Sus scrofa: one gene and its partner. The main gene of each other region encodes a partner of the protein of the gene in region 2 in a complex. Links are inferred from orthologs where the notes say so. Each region holds a gene or a part of one and is shown on either strand. Other genes may lie near its edges.

Region 1 (6,576 bases), about 16 Mb from region 2:
TAGCCTGGGAACCACCATAGGCCATGGATGCAACCCTAAAAAGTAAAAAAAAAAAAAAAAAAAAAAAAGAACCTATAAATATCAGCATATACAGTCATCCCTCAGTATCTTTGAAACCCTCAATGTCCCTTGGTTCAAGGACACCCTCCTCCCCCCCAGATATCAAAATCCATGTGTTAGTGTCATATAAGATGACATAGTATTTTCAGATACCCTGAGCACATCCTCTTGTATACCTTAAATTATCTCTCCTTTACTTGTAATACCTACTACAATGGAAAAATTTTGTAAATAGTTGCAAATACAATGTAAGTAGTAAGTACAACATAAATACTATGCAAATAGTTGCCAGTGCAGGGCAAATTCAAGTTTTGAATTTTTTTTTTTAATCTTCTTAGATTTTTTTTTTTTTAATCTTCCACCCACAGTTGGTTGAATCTGTGGATGGGGAATCCTCATATACAGAGGGCCAACTGTAATCCTTTCATATAAACTAACAGCATACTTCTCCTGTGGATTCAAGGCGAACCATTCTGAATCTTGCACCAGGGATTGGGAGAAGGAAGAGACAGGCTTCTTGGTGAAGCAATGCCCAAGCCCATCTCTGACATATTGCTCAGTCCCATAGCTTCTGTTGTCTTCTGAGATAATTCTAGGCTTTGGTATTATCAGTTCATTCTCTTTGTGCAGTTTCTGGAGCCGGGCCCTCTCTGCCTCTATCACAACATACAGCATCTCTACCCTATAATCTTTCGTTCTGATATTCTGCTATTTGATGGTGAAATTCTGTTCTTATTTGATCAACCACCAGTCTGCTTGTCTGCTTTACTCTGCCAATCATCCTTTACCCTAAATCCATTATGAGGCCATTCCCTGTTGACCTCCTTGGGATGAAAATTTGTGGTTACTCTGGGTTTATTTATAGGACAGGCTGATGGCAACACAAGTGAGGACTATCAGGTTTTGTGTGTCATCTCTGGTCTACTGTGAGGTCGTAGCTAAGCCACTGAGGATGCCTGGCATTTCATCTCTACGCCTTTATTTATACAAGTTATGGTTTAGAGCATGGGCTTTGGAGCCTGACAGGCCTATGCTTGAATTTTAATTCCCAGGTGTGTGATTCAGGGCAAGTAACAATCTCTCTCTAAACAGTTTCCTCGTTGAAAAAATGTACCTCTTGGGGTTATAAAGAATAAGTGACAATTAGATTAAAGAGCCTGGCACAATGCTTAAAATACAGTAAGGTCTCAATAAATGGCAGTTGTCTATCCTCCATAGGTCAAGCTCCAGACTATTAAGTCTGCCCAGTCTACTCTATGTATCAGTGAGGTTTTGGGTTTTTGTTTTTTGGCACCCCGCAGCATATGGAGTTCCTGGGCCGAGAACAGATCTGAGCCACAGTTGCAACCTAAGCCCCAGCTGAGGCAAAGCTGGGTCCTTAATCCATGGTGCCAGGCCAGGGATTGAACATTTGTCCCAGTGTTCCCAAGACGCTGCCCATCCCATTTTGCCATAGAGTGGAACTCCTGTATCAGTGATTTTTGCCTTCCGATGAATACAAAGTAAAAAATAGAAGTAAAAAATATAACTTCTACAATTTATTTGAAAATCAGTCATGGGAGTTCCTGTTGTGGTGCAGCAGAAACAAATCCAACTAAGAACCATGAGGTTGCGGGTTTGATCCCTGGCCTCGATTAGTGGGTTAAGGATCTGGCCTTGCCCTGAGCTGTGGTGTAGGTCACAGACATGGCTCAGATCCTATGTTGCTGTGGCTGTGCCATAGGTGGGCAGCTGTAGCTCTGATTCAACCCCTAGCCTGGGAACCTTCATATCCTGTAAGTGCAGCCCTAAAAAGCAAAAAAAAGCAAAAACAAAAAACAAAACAAAACAAACAAACAAACAAACAAACAAAAGGAAAAACAAAAGAACAAAACGAAACATAGCTCAAGCAACAGCAAAGCCAGATCGTTAACCCACTGAGCGAGGCCAGAGATCGAACCCACAACCTCATCGTTTCTAGTCGGATTTGTTTCTGCTGTGCCACAACATGAACTCAAAATACAAAAAACATTTTGATGCTGAAATTTAAACATATAAAGAGTGGGAACTATGATTTTTAATCTACAAATACCATGATCTCTCTCTTTTTTCTTTTTAAGGCTGCACCTGTGGTATATGGAAGTTCCCAAGCTAGGGTCTGAATCAAAGCTGCAACTGTGATCTACACTATAGACAAGGCAACAGCCACCAAAGCACATGAGCCATACCGGGTCCTGCAGAGAGCCCTTGCTTGGGTCGCAAGGCCCAAAGAATGCTAGAATTACTCCCAGAATATTTCGCTTTGTTTTCTACCACTGTCCAACCGCCACAGTGAAGTGCAGATTCAGGAACCGCTGGAGTTTGCAGTTCTCCAGTCCAAATAAATAAATTAGTACTCTATAAGGTTGGTCCGACTTCTCAGGAGAAACGCTCCCCGCGACTGGGTCCTGGTAAAATTCGAGACCAATAAAATAAACATCCCAGGACTGAGTCCTGAAGGGAAAAAATAACCTGAGGCAGGCGCAGCTTCGTCACCTATTTTCGTATCCAACGTAACAGAACCAGGCTGAAGGGGGCGCCACAATCTTCCTTCAGAACCGCTCCTCTCCCTCTCCAGGCTCTCGGGATCACAGTTGCAATTAATTATGACGTCACAGCCAATCGAGAGCCGGGACGCGTGGACTCTCTAGCCCGCCACGCGCTCGCTGCTCGGTTGCCCGCGCGGAGCCGGCGCTCTAGCCCGTGAAGTTGACTTGCTCCTCTCGCCTGCCCCAGGAAAGACCCCCAGCGTAGTTGTACCCGACGCGGGATAGGGATTCCGGAAGTTTGGGCTCCTTAGTCACAGAGGCACAAGGTATGCGTAGGAAGAAATCTCGGGTTCTGCATGCTTACGTCCAGGGACAGAATAGGCATGACCTCTCTGGGGAAGGGGCTACTCTCTTAATAAACTCCTCATCCCCTTCCCAGCCCTCGACCACCCGTCTGTCATGGACCTCGCCCGCACATCCTCTAGCTTTCAGTCGGACTTGGATTTCTGTCCGGATTGCGGCTCGGTCCTGCCTCTGCCCGGGACTCAGGATGCGGTCATTTGTACTCGCTGTGGCTTCTCCATCAACGTGCGGGGTGAGGTGCTGCTACGCCGCGGCTGGGGCGGAGGAGGGCCCATGGGGATCTCAAGATCGATTGGATTAAAGACGGGGACCCGAAAGCGCAGGATCAGGCACTTATACTTTTGGTCGGCACGAAACCTGATGGGTAGAATATAGCTTCCTGGCCTAACAGAGAGGGATTAGTGTGGTGTCAGCCCCCTCCGCTGTCTCCACAACCAATTCTTACTGCCCGCGCAGACTTTGAGGGGAAGGTTGTGAAGACCTCAGTTGTGTTCCAGAAAGTGGGGACAGCCATGCCTATGTCGATGGAGGAAGGACCTGAGTTCCAGGGACCCGTGGTAAGTGAATCACGTCGAGGACTGGCCCTGTAAAGAGGGTGGGAACGAAACGGAGGGCTCAGATCTGGAGAGTTTTGTACACAACAGGGAAGAAGAGTCTTTAAAACAGTAGTGACTGGGGAGAGTTTTCTTGTGGTGCAGCCGGGTGTTAAGGATCTGGCCGGCATTGTCACTACAGCGGTTTAGGTCGCTTCTGTGGCACGGGTTCGATCCTCGGCCTGGAAACTTACACGTACTGCAGGTGCAGCAAAACAAAAACCAGCAGTATCTGAGGAGTGTGGTAGCTTGATGTCTGTGAGAAGTAGTGGGAATTATTAACCTACCAGTTGCTTCCCAGGTTGACAGGCGCTGTCCTCGTTGTGGTCATGAGGGAATGGCATACCACACCAGACAGATGCGCTCAGCCGATGAAGGGCAGACTGTCTTCTACACCTGTACCAACTGCAAGTGCGTATCCTTTCCCTCCATTCTGCCCCTTCTGGGTCTCTTTGCTGCCAAAATCCCGTGATTTAATTTAAATCCAGTGGTTTAATTTTTGTACTTTTTGGACTGGTCGCATCCTTCATTTCTGTACAGTTCAAGTAATAGGTTTGTGATCGTTTTCTTCCTTCCTTCCATCCTTTCTTTCTTTCTTCCTTCCTTTCTTTCTTTCTTTCTCTCTCTCTCTCTCTTTCTTTCTTTCTTCCTTCCTTCCTTCTTTCCTTCCTTCCTTCCCTCCCTCCTTCCTTCCTTCCTTCCTTCTTAGGGCTGCACCCCGTGGCATATGGAGATTCCCAGGCTAGGGGTCACATCCGAGCTGTAGCCTCTGGCCTCACCACAGCAACAGCAACGCCAGATCACAGCAACACCGGATCCCAGCTGCGTCCACAACTTACACCGCAGCTCACAACAATGCCAGAGCCTTAACCCACTGAGTGAGGCCAGGGATTGAACCACATGGTTCCTAGTCGGATTTGCTTGTGCTGCTGTGCCACGATGGGAAGTTCTGTGGTCTTTTTAAATTTTAAATAATTACTCTTTTCCTATCTTTTTATACCCAGTGAATTAAACCTTTTACAATAGTTAAAAGGAAATGAGTATTGGTTTGTGATCAGTGTGTTATGTTGGACTCCTCCACTGCCCTCAAGGTAGTTTTACTTTGGTGAGAGTCAGTCATGGATGATTTAAAAAACATGGGTTCTTTATTTTTATTTCTTTATTTTTTTTTGTCTTTTTGCCTTTTCTAGGGCCGCTTCCCGAGGCATATGGAGGTTCTCAGGCTAGGGTCTAATCAGAGCTGCAGCCGCTGGCCGACGCCACAGCCACAGCAATGTGGGATCCGAGCCAAGACTGCAACCTACACCACAGCTCACAGCAATGCCAGATCCTTAACCCACCGAGCAGCCAGGGATCGAACCCACAACCTCATGGTTTCTAGTCGGATTCGTTAACCACTGCACCACGACGAGAACTCCCAGAACATGGGTTCTTTAAAACATAGTTTTAAGAATTCCTCTTTGTCTTTGGTGTCCTTCAATTTCACTACAATCTATCAAGATGTGGCTTTCTTTTATTTATCCTGTTTGGGATGTGTTGGGCCTTCCAACAGTGAGGGTTGACCTTTTTTCCCCCATCAACCTTGGAAAATTATCAGCTGTTATCACACTGAATATTTCCCTCATATGCTCAGTTCTCATATTCTTAGAGTTCTAACTGATTAGCTCTTTATTAGGCCTTATCTTCTATCCTCCATTTCTCTCACCCTGTCTCCCATATTTTCCATCTCTTTTCTCTTTATGCTGTTTCTGGATAGATTTTTTAGTTCTGTTTGATTTTTTTGTGGCCATGCCGGCAACATGTGGATATTCCTGGGCCAGGGATCAAACCCTAGCCCCTGCAGTGACAGTGCTGGACTTTAACCCACTGCACCACAAGGGAAATCCTGATTATTTTTCAAATCATCTTAGTTATTTTTAATAATTCCCAATTCCTTAATCATATTTTAAGTGGTTCTTTTTATTCATAAAACATATTACATGTAAACATTAAACATGATATTTATGTTCTATGTCTGTTAATTCTCAAACCCACTGTTTTTGTGGGTCTGATGCTGCCATCTGTTATTTCTGCTGACTCCCTCATGGTGCTGCTTTTGTTTTGTGCTTTTTTTACTATAAGCTCAGATTTTTAAAAGTTTGAACTATGGGAATTCTTTGAGGCTTGTGGTGAATGCTGTATATTCAGCATTTGCGTTTACTGTTTAGCTGCCTTGAGGCAGTACCAAGGCGGAATCACTAAGTTAATTCTCAGCTTTGGGAGCACCTAGGTAACATGGATTTTGGCTGCAAATCCAGTATAAAGGCCAGGTTATGGTTAGAAATTCTCAGGGGACTTTTTTTTCCTCCCTCTACCTAGTGAGACAGATTTCTCTTCAGCAGAGAAAATTTTTTTTTTTTTTCTTGCTCACTTTTATACAGAAGGGTAAGCCCTTTGGGGAGCTCAGACTTATGCAGACAGAGTATCTCCTATCAATATTGCAGGTTCATCTCTGGTTCTTCCATGTGGCTGTCAAAGCAGCAAGGGCTTGGGAGCTGGGAGGAGGATGGTTTCCTTTTTTCGTCTGTGCCAGCAGCATATGAAGTTCCTGGGCCAGGGGTTGAACCCATAGCGCAGTTGTGACCCTGGTCACAGCTTCAGCAAGAGGGGATTCTTAACCCACTGAGCCATCAGGGAACACCCAGGGCTTCAGTTTTAACTTACCTTCTAGGTTTCTGGTTTTACATCACTTCACCCAATGTGAAGATTGCCTTTACTTTCTTGACATCTCATTAATGGATTAAAATATTTATGGTTATATCTTTTGAGAGCATTTTTTCCCCAGTCTGACCTATTTATTTTCTAACTTTTTTTTAATGGTATTATTTTTTCTGCGTATTTTTTTCTTGGGCCGCTCCTGCGGCATATGGAGATTCCCAGGCTAGGGGTCCAATCGGAGCTGCAACCACCGGCCCATGCCAGAGCCACAGCAATGCGGGATCCGAGCGCGTCTGCAACCTACACCACATTTCACGGCAACGCCGGATTCCTAACCCACTGAGCAAGGCCAGGGA
Region 2 (6,465 bases):
AGTACCTCATATCACAAAGGAACTAAAATTAATTCTTAAAATTCCTATTTCCCACTTAAGAAGGGCCTCTACATTGGACTGGTCTATAGAAAGGACTGCTGACCCCAAACATTCATGTCCAGATGTAAAGAAAACACACAGTAGGCAGCTGACCCAGGAATCCAGAACTGTAAGACTTACCGTAATCATCTAATGGAACTGTTTGTCAGATGTTTGTCTCCCTTATCAGCACCAGAAAGTTATTGTCCCACTTGTAATGACACTTGCCCTCAGTGTTTAAAATAGGAAACTATTTTTCTAACGGAGTTTTCCTTTCTCCCCCTTTTTCTTTTTTTTCCTTTTTAGGGCTGTACCTGCAGCATATGGAAGTTTCTAGGCTAGGAGTCAAAATGAAGCTACAGCTGCCGGCTTACACCACAGCCAAAGCAATGCCAGATCCGAGCCACGTCTGCGACCTACAGCACGGCTCTCGGCAACGCTGGATCCTTAACCCACTGAGTGAGGCCAGGGATCAAACCGCATCTGCATGGATCCTAGTTGGGTTTGTTAACCTCTGAGCCACAAAAGGAACTCCTCCCCTCACCCCTGTTTTTCTTTATCTTGGCTGTGGCTGCCGCATGTGGAAGTTCCTGAGCCAGGGATTGATGCCACACCACAGTTGCAGCCTGTGCCAAAGCCGTGGCAAGGCTGAATCCATAACCTGCTGTGCCTCTAATGGAGTTTCCACAGATTACAATTACTCATGATGTATAAGTGCTTGAGTGACAGCTGGGTATAACCGATAAAATGTTTCCCTGTCAGCACACCTCTTTGTACTGGTTTGTCACATCTGATTAGTTTTCCTCCCAATGTGGAGAACTAGGCAAACATAAATAACAAAAAGTAAGCCTAGGGAGTCCCTGTGGAGGCTCAGTGGTTAATGAATCCAACTAGGAACCATGAGGTTGTGGCTTTGATCCCTGGCCTTGCTCTGTGGGTTAAGGATCCGGCATTGCCCTGAGCTGTGGTGTACGTGTCAGACAGGGCTCAAATCCCAGGTTGATGTGGCTGTGGCGGAGGCTGGCAGCTGTAGCTCTGATTGGATCCCTAGCCTGGGAGCCTCCATATGCCATGTGTACGGCCCTAAAAAGCCAAAAAAAAAAAAAAAAAAAAAGGGTAAGCCTAGCACCAAGGGACATGAATGGACCAGAAGCAAGCAGCTGCATCACTCCTAGCAACAATGAAAAAACCAACACCTTCTATGGAGAGATTTACACCTAAATGGGGGAAATGATGGAAGAAAATTTTCACATATTCAAGTATGAAGAAATGATTCTGGCTTATACATTACTTAATTTGAAATCTAGGCTGACCCAAAACAGCCTATTTGTGGCCTATTAAATATATATTGTGGGAGTTCCCATTGTGGCACAGCAGAAACAAATCCGACTAGCATCCATGAGGATTTAGGTTTGATCCCTGGCCTCAATCAGTGGATCAGGGATCCGGCATTGCTATGAGCTGTGGTGTAGACTGCTCGGATCCCAAGTTGCTGTGGCGGAGGCAGGCAGCTGTAGCTCTGAGAACAGCTGTAGCCTGGGAACTTCCATATGCTGAGGGTGAGGCCCTAAAAAGCACATAGAGAGGGAGGAAGTACATCTGCTTTAACTATTAAGGAACAAAATACATTCAAAGAATAGTACAAATATGCATTATGATTATTATCCTCTGAATTATTCTCCTGCCAACTTCCCCTTGCTAAAAGCAAAATGGACTTGGTCTGTTTTTCATTGGTATGATCACTTGCTAAACATCTTTACGCCAGGTTTAGGTCTTGAAAATGTTGCAGCTCATATTGAAACTTTAACAAAATTTACACAGGAGACTTTGAATGAAAGTCATTTTTTTAAAAAATAAAAAAAAAAAAGAAGGTAATGCTATTTCTTTACTCAACGATGAAATGACGTCAATGAGAAAAGCTATTCTACAAATCAGGATGGCCTCAGACATTATCACAACCTCCCAGAAAGGAACCTGTGCCATCATTAAGGTGGACTATGCTGGATGCTATTTCTATTTTATTTTATTTTTTGTCTTTTTTGCTATTTCTTGGGCCGCTCTCGCAGCATATGGAGGTTCCCAGGCTAGGGGTCTAATAGGAGCTGTAACTGCCAGCCTACACCACAGCCACAGCAACGCGGGATCCAAGCCGCATCTGTGACCTACACCACAGCTCATGGCAATGCCGGATCCTTAACCCACTGAGCAAGGCCAGGGATGGAACCCGCAACCTCATGGTTCCTAGTCAGATTCGTTAACCACTGCGCCACGATGGGAACTCCTGGATGCTATTTCTTTACCCAATGTTGAAATGACTTTAATGAGAAAAGCCATTCTACAAATCAGGATAGCCTTAGACATTATTACAGCCTCCCAGGAAGGAAACTGTGCCATCATTAAGGTGGAATCTTGTGCTTTTATTCTTGATGAATCTGCTAATGTATTTCAAGTGCTAAAACACAAACACAGATTGAGACCTTCAGTTGCCTTCTTCCAGATTTGGGAGGGCTTTTGGAGGAATGAAGGAATGGATCCCCAAAATCTTGGCTACAATCTCTTTTAATTGCTTACTGCTGCGTTTCTCTTGATTTCTTTAATAGATTTATCATCTGATGCGGAAGATCAACAGAAGCCACAAGGTTAACACTAACAAGCAGCATTGGCTTATTATTTTCCCAACAGAGGAGGGACAGGTGTTATGCTCCTTCTCTAGACAGACCTATGACCCATCTCAGGAGGAAGCAGCTAATGATCGGTCTCTCCCTATTTGCTCATTTAAGCATAATGGAGTAAAACAGCTGGAGGAAGGAATGATGGGGATAGAGTAGGATAATCACATAGTTTAGAAGTCCCACTAGGGTTTAAAGACAAAAAGGAAATGTTAAGGGGGTTTGAAGACTGCTGTAAGCCAACAACCGACCACTTAAGAATCCAGTAACTTAGCAACAATCTACACCACCTTGAAGGAAGACCAGGTGTATCTAAGCACCAGAAACAAGCCACAAGTCCTGATAGTTAAAACCCAAGACAAGAGATATGGGGTTTCAATCTTGTTACATGAAGTCAGAGTTATTGGTCCTTGAAGACTGGCATTGCTGCATGTAGACAAGGTGAAAGAGGGAAAAAACTAGGTGAAAGGGGAAATTATTCTGCAACCTGAAACGAATTACCACATTTTCGCATATGTTACCGCTTCTGCTAATATACCTATGATTTAAACAGCCCATGACACTCCCCCTTAGACCATATAGGGTCAAAGGAGGAACTGATGATGCAAGCCTGGACCATCTTACCCAAGAATGAGAAATAAGGTGGTCTTCTCCCCGCCCCACTTTCACCTTGATTATAAAAATGTAGCCCTCTTTGTTCTCTGGGTCGCACTCCCTTGCCTGCTCATTAGTATTTCTGACAAGCGTCCTATGCTAATAAATTCACTTATTGTGTATCGGTTTGCCTCACGCTGAATTCTTTTTCCCACGAGACAAAACCTGAGGCTCAGGAAGTCCTGACGATAGCAGGTGAGCGGTATCAATTAAGACAGTGGGTTTGAGTCCCCTCCTACGTCAGGGACCATGGGTTCAAGTTCCAATGGGGGTTTTGGCTGAGTTCGAGTCCCACCCGAAAGGGAGTGCAGCTTCAATCTTTATTGCTGTTAATCGCCCTTACCACAACTCACTAGAGTCGTGTTACCTGTACTCTTTTCCAAAAAGACCGAACCATCTCGTTAGCTTGTAGAACAAAGCAGAAATTGTGCACATCGAGTGCCTAACACATCCAGAGCGAACCCCCAAGGCAGTTTCCGAGGAACAGGATGTTCAGAGTGCAAGATCCGATCCTCATACCCTCTCTGAACACCTCCAGCTCTACCCACCTTCTCGAAGCGGTCCTGGTCCCAGGCATCATCATAGCCCGAATAGTTACCGGGAAAATCGGTAGTATGAACCTAGAGCAAAGAGAAACGAACCTGTTCGCGAAGGAGCAGCGAGGCCAAATTCATCCCCACTCCGACTCTAACTCATCCCTGCTCCGCTCTGATTTCTCCTCCCGAGGTCAAGTCCACAAGACTTACATTGCGAACCCCGAACTCCCCTAGAACCACGCGGCTCCGCATTTCCTCCACAGCCTGAGCCGCCGCCATCTTCAACTCCACCATGTGACTAGAGTACCAAGCCTGCGCGTGCGTTCTAGTCTCCCTGCCCCGTCTCCGTGGCAACACACCACCTCCCGGAATCCTAAATATCGCGAGAATCTGCCCCGCCTCCGTCCACGTCCTCAGATACCGGAAGTCAGTTTTAACCAAACATCCGGTTTTCTCCTTTTTGCGTTCCGGCCGATCCCACCTTTCTTTCTAGTCCCTGGACCTGTCCATCCGTCAGGCCCTCATCTCTCCCACTCCTCCTCAGCGCGCGGGACTAGCGCGGGCTTCAGCGACGGGAGCCCTCGAGGGACATGGCAACTCCGGCGGCGCCGGCCGGCGGCGCCCGAAATGGGGCTGGCCCGGAATGGGGAGGATTCGATGAAAACATCCAGGTAAGCGCCCCACGGCTCCGGCTGCCAGCAGCCCCACGGCCTGCAGCTGTCCTGAAGTGTCATGGGGACTCTTCCTTCGAGCCTTGGAAGTCTGCTCCGTTTGCAGAACTTTTTGTCTTCTTTGGGTCTTCGTGCACGTGAAAGGCAGTGGAACTAGTGCGGACCTAAAAGGTCCACACTAGTACCTCTGAGCCCCCTTGCTCTTGCTTTCCGCACAACTTAGAAGGTCGGGCACGGCCAGGGGCGAGGGTGGGATGGGGGGTAGGCGGGATTCACTGGCCAAAACCACACTGTGCGCGCAGCCTTGTTTTGGGGTGGAAAACACAAAGGAAATGGGCACTTTTGCAGCCTTTTGTGGCTTTGGTAGGAAAAGGACACGTATGGAAGACAGGGAGTAGGTTTCCCAGGCTGGAAAAGAGAGCCAAACAAAGGTTCTGAGAGCAGTTGAGGGGAGGGGAGTGGCATGGTCTATGGTAATTCTAAGCCGTATCTCCAGCAGTGAAAGGACAAAGCTCCAAGCTCTCCGGTGAACAGAGAAGGACATAACGGATGGAGCAGAAAGGTCCTCCACTGTGGGATCCGTTGTCTTCACAGGGTGGGGGCTCAGCTGTGATTGACATGGAGAACATGGATGATACTTCAGGTTCCAGCTTCGAGGATATGGGTGAGCTGCATCAGCGCCTGCGTGAGGAAGAAGTGGATGCTGATGCAGCTGCCGCTGAAGAAGAGGATGGGGAGTTTCTGGGCATGAAGGGCTTTAAGGGACAGCTGAGCCGGCAGGTGGCTGATCAGGTAAGCAAGACTGGCTCTCTGACAGGTGGAAAAGTATCCTGAGGCCTCTGGTTCTGAGTTGGTATTAGTGAAGTTCACCCCAGCTTGTCCAGTTAGAACCATGTAGAGATCCAACAAGAAATAAGCAAAAGGGCCTTAAAGCCAAGAGTCTCACGATACCCTCCCACCCCACCCGGTCTTCCTTGCTTCAGATGTGGCAGGCGGGGAAGAGACAAGCCTCTAGGGCCTTCAGCTTGTACGCCAACATCGACATCCTGAGACCCTACTTTGATGTGGAGCCTGCACAGGTGCGAAGCAGGTGAGGATCCTCCTGACCGAAGCTGCCTTCCTGACATCTAGCCCTTCATCCACTCTACAAGCAGACTCCAAGCCCTTAGAATCCCCTCTTCATGATTCCAGTCACAGAACAGGGCTTGGCGAGAACACACCTTCCTCCTCTTCTCCATCTAGCAAACTTCTCATCTTTCCTCAAAACCTAGCTCAAATGTCACTTCCTTTGCTCCCTGTTCCAAGTTTATCCTTTCCTTTCCTGATGCTCCACTAGGGCTTTGCTTTCCTTTAGCAGACAGCACTTCAGCGATGCTGTACTTTGTCATTCCTGGGTCTGTCTCCCCAGAGACCTCCTCAAAAAGCAGGCTCTGTTTTATCTTTTTTCTTTCTTTTTGTCGCCACCCCACAGCATGTGGAGTTCCCCAGCCAGGGATCAGATCCCAGCTGCAGTTTCAACCTATGCTGCAGTTGTGGCAATGCTGGATCCTTAACCCATTCTTCCGGGCTGGGCGGTTGAACCAGTGCTCCAGAGCTGCCACCGATCGAGTTGCACCACAGTGGGAACTCCTCCTTGTCTTTTTATTCCCAGCACTAAAATAGTCTCTGAACCAGACCATTGGTACATTGTTGTCAAGTTATGTTTCAAAAACCAGATTTAATCTTGCTTTGATTCTTTGTTCATCCTTTAATTCAGCTAATGCTTATCAAACACCCAGTACCACTCTACAAGTATTTACTAAGCTTTTGCTCTGTGTCAGATCCTACAGTTGTGTCTGATTTAGTGGTGACGACAAATGGGAACCTTATCCTCGGGCACAGCCGTGGAGCACTCAT

The links. The genes of interacting proteins can lie anywhere in the genome.
Region 1: POLR1C (region 2) and ZNRD1 share a complex: the UniProt entries of both Homo sapiens proteins name them as parts of the pol I pre-initiation complex. The link is inferred for Sus scrofa from reciprocal best matches to the Homo sapiens genes POLR1C and POLR1H.

What each region holds. Positions count from the first base shown.
Region 1 is NC_010449.5:22,624,111-22,630,686, forward strand, and holds the start of ZNRD1 (DNA-directed RNA polymerase I subunit RPA12), read left to right. Parts: upstream 1-2,760; 5' UTR 2,761-2,893; intron 2,894-3,006; 5' UTR 3,007-3,026; coding exon 3,027-3,162; intron 3,163-3,386; coding exon 3,387-3,487; intron 3,488-3,824; coding exon 3,825-3,934; intron 3,935-6,576. UniProt on the Homo sapiens protein: Core component of RNA polymerase I (Pol I), a DNA-dependent RNA polymerase which synthesizes ribosomal RNA precursors using the four ribonucleoside triphosphates as substrates. Can mediate Pol I proofreading of the nascent RNA transcript.
Region 2 is NC_010449.5:38,509,312-38,515,776, reverse strand, and holds the start of POLR1C (DNA-directed RNA polymerases I and III subunit RPAC1), read right to left. Parts: upstream 4,257-6,465; 5' UTR 4,193-4,256; coding exon 4,109-4,192; exon of another isoform or gene 4,037-4,108; coding exon of another isoform or gene 4,004-4,036; intron 3,983-4,003; coding exon 3,911-3,982; intron 1-3,910. Other genes in the region: protein YIPF3, read left to right, coding at 4,489-4,569, 5,164-5,361, 5,553-5,659. UniProt on the Homo sapiens protein: DNA-dependent RNA polymerase catalyzes the transcription of DNA into RNA using the four ribonucleoside triphosphates as substrates.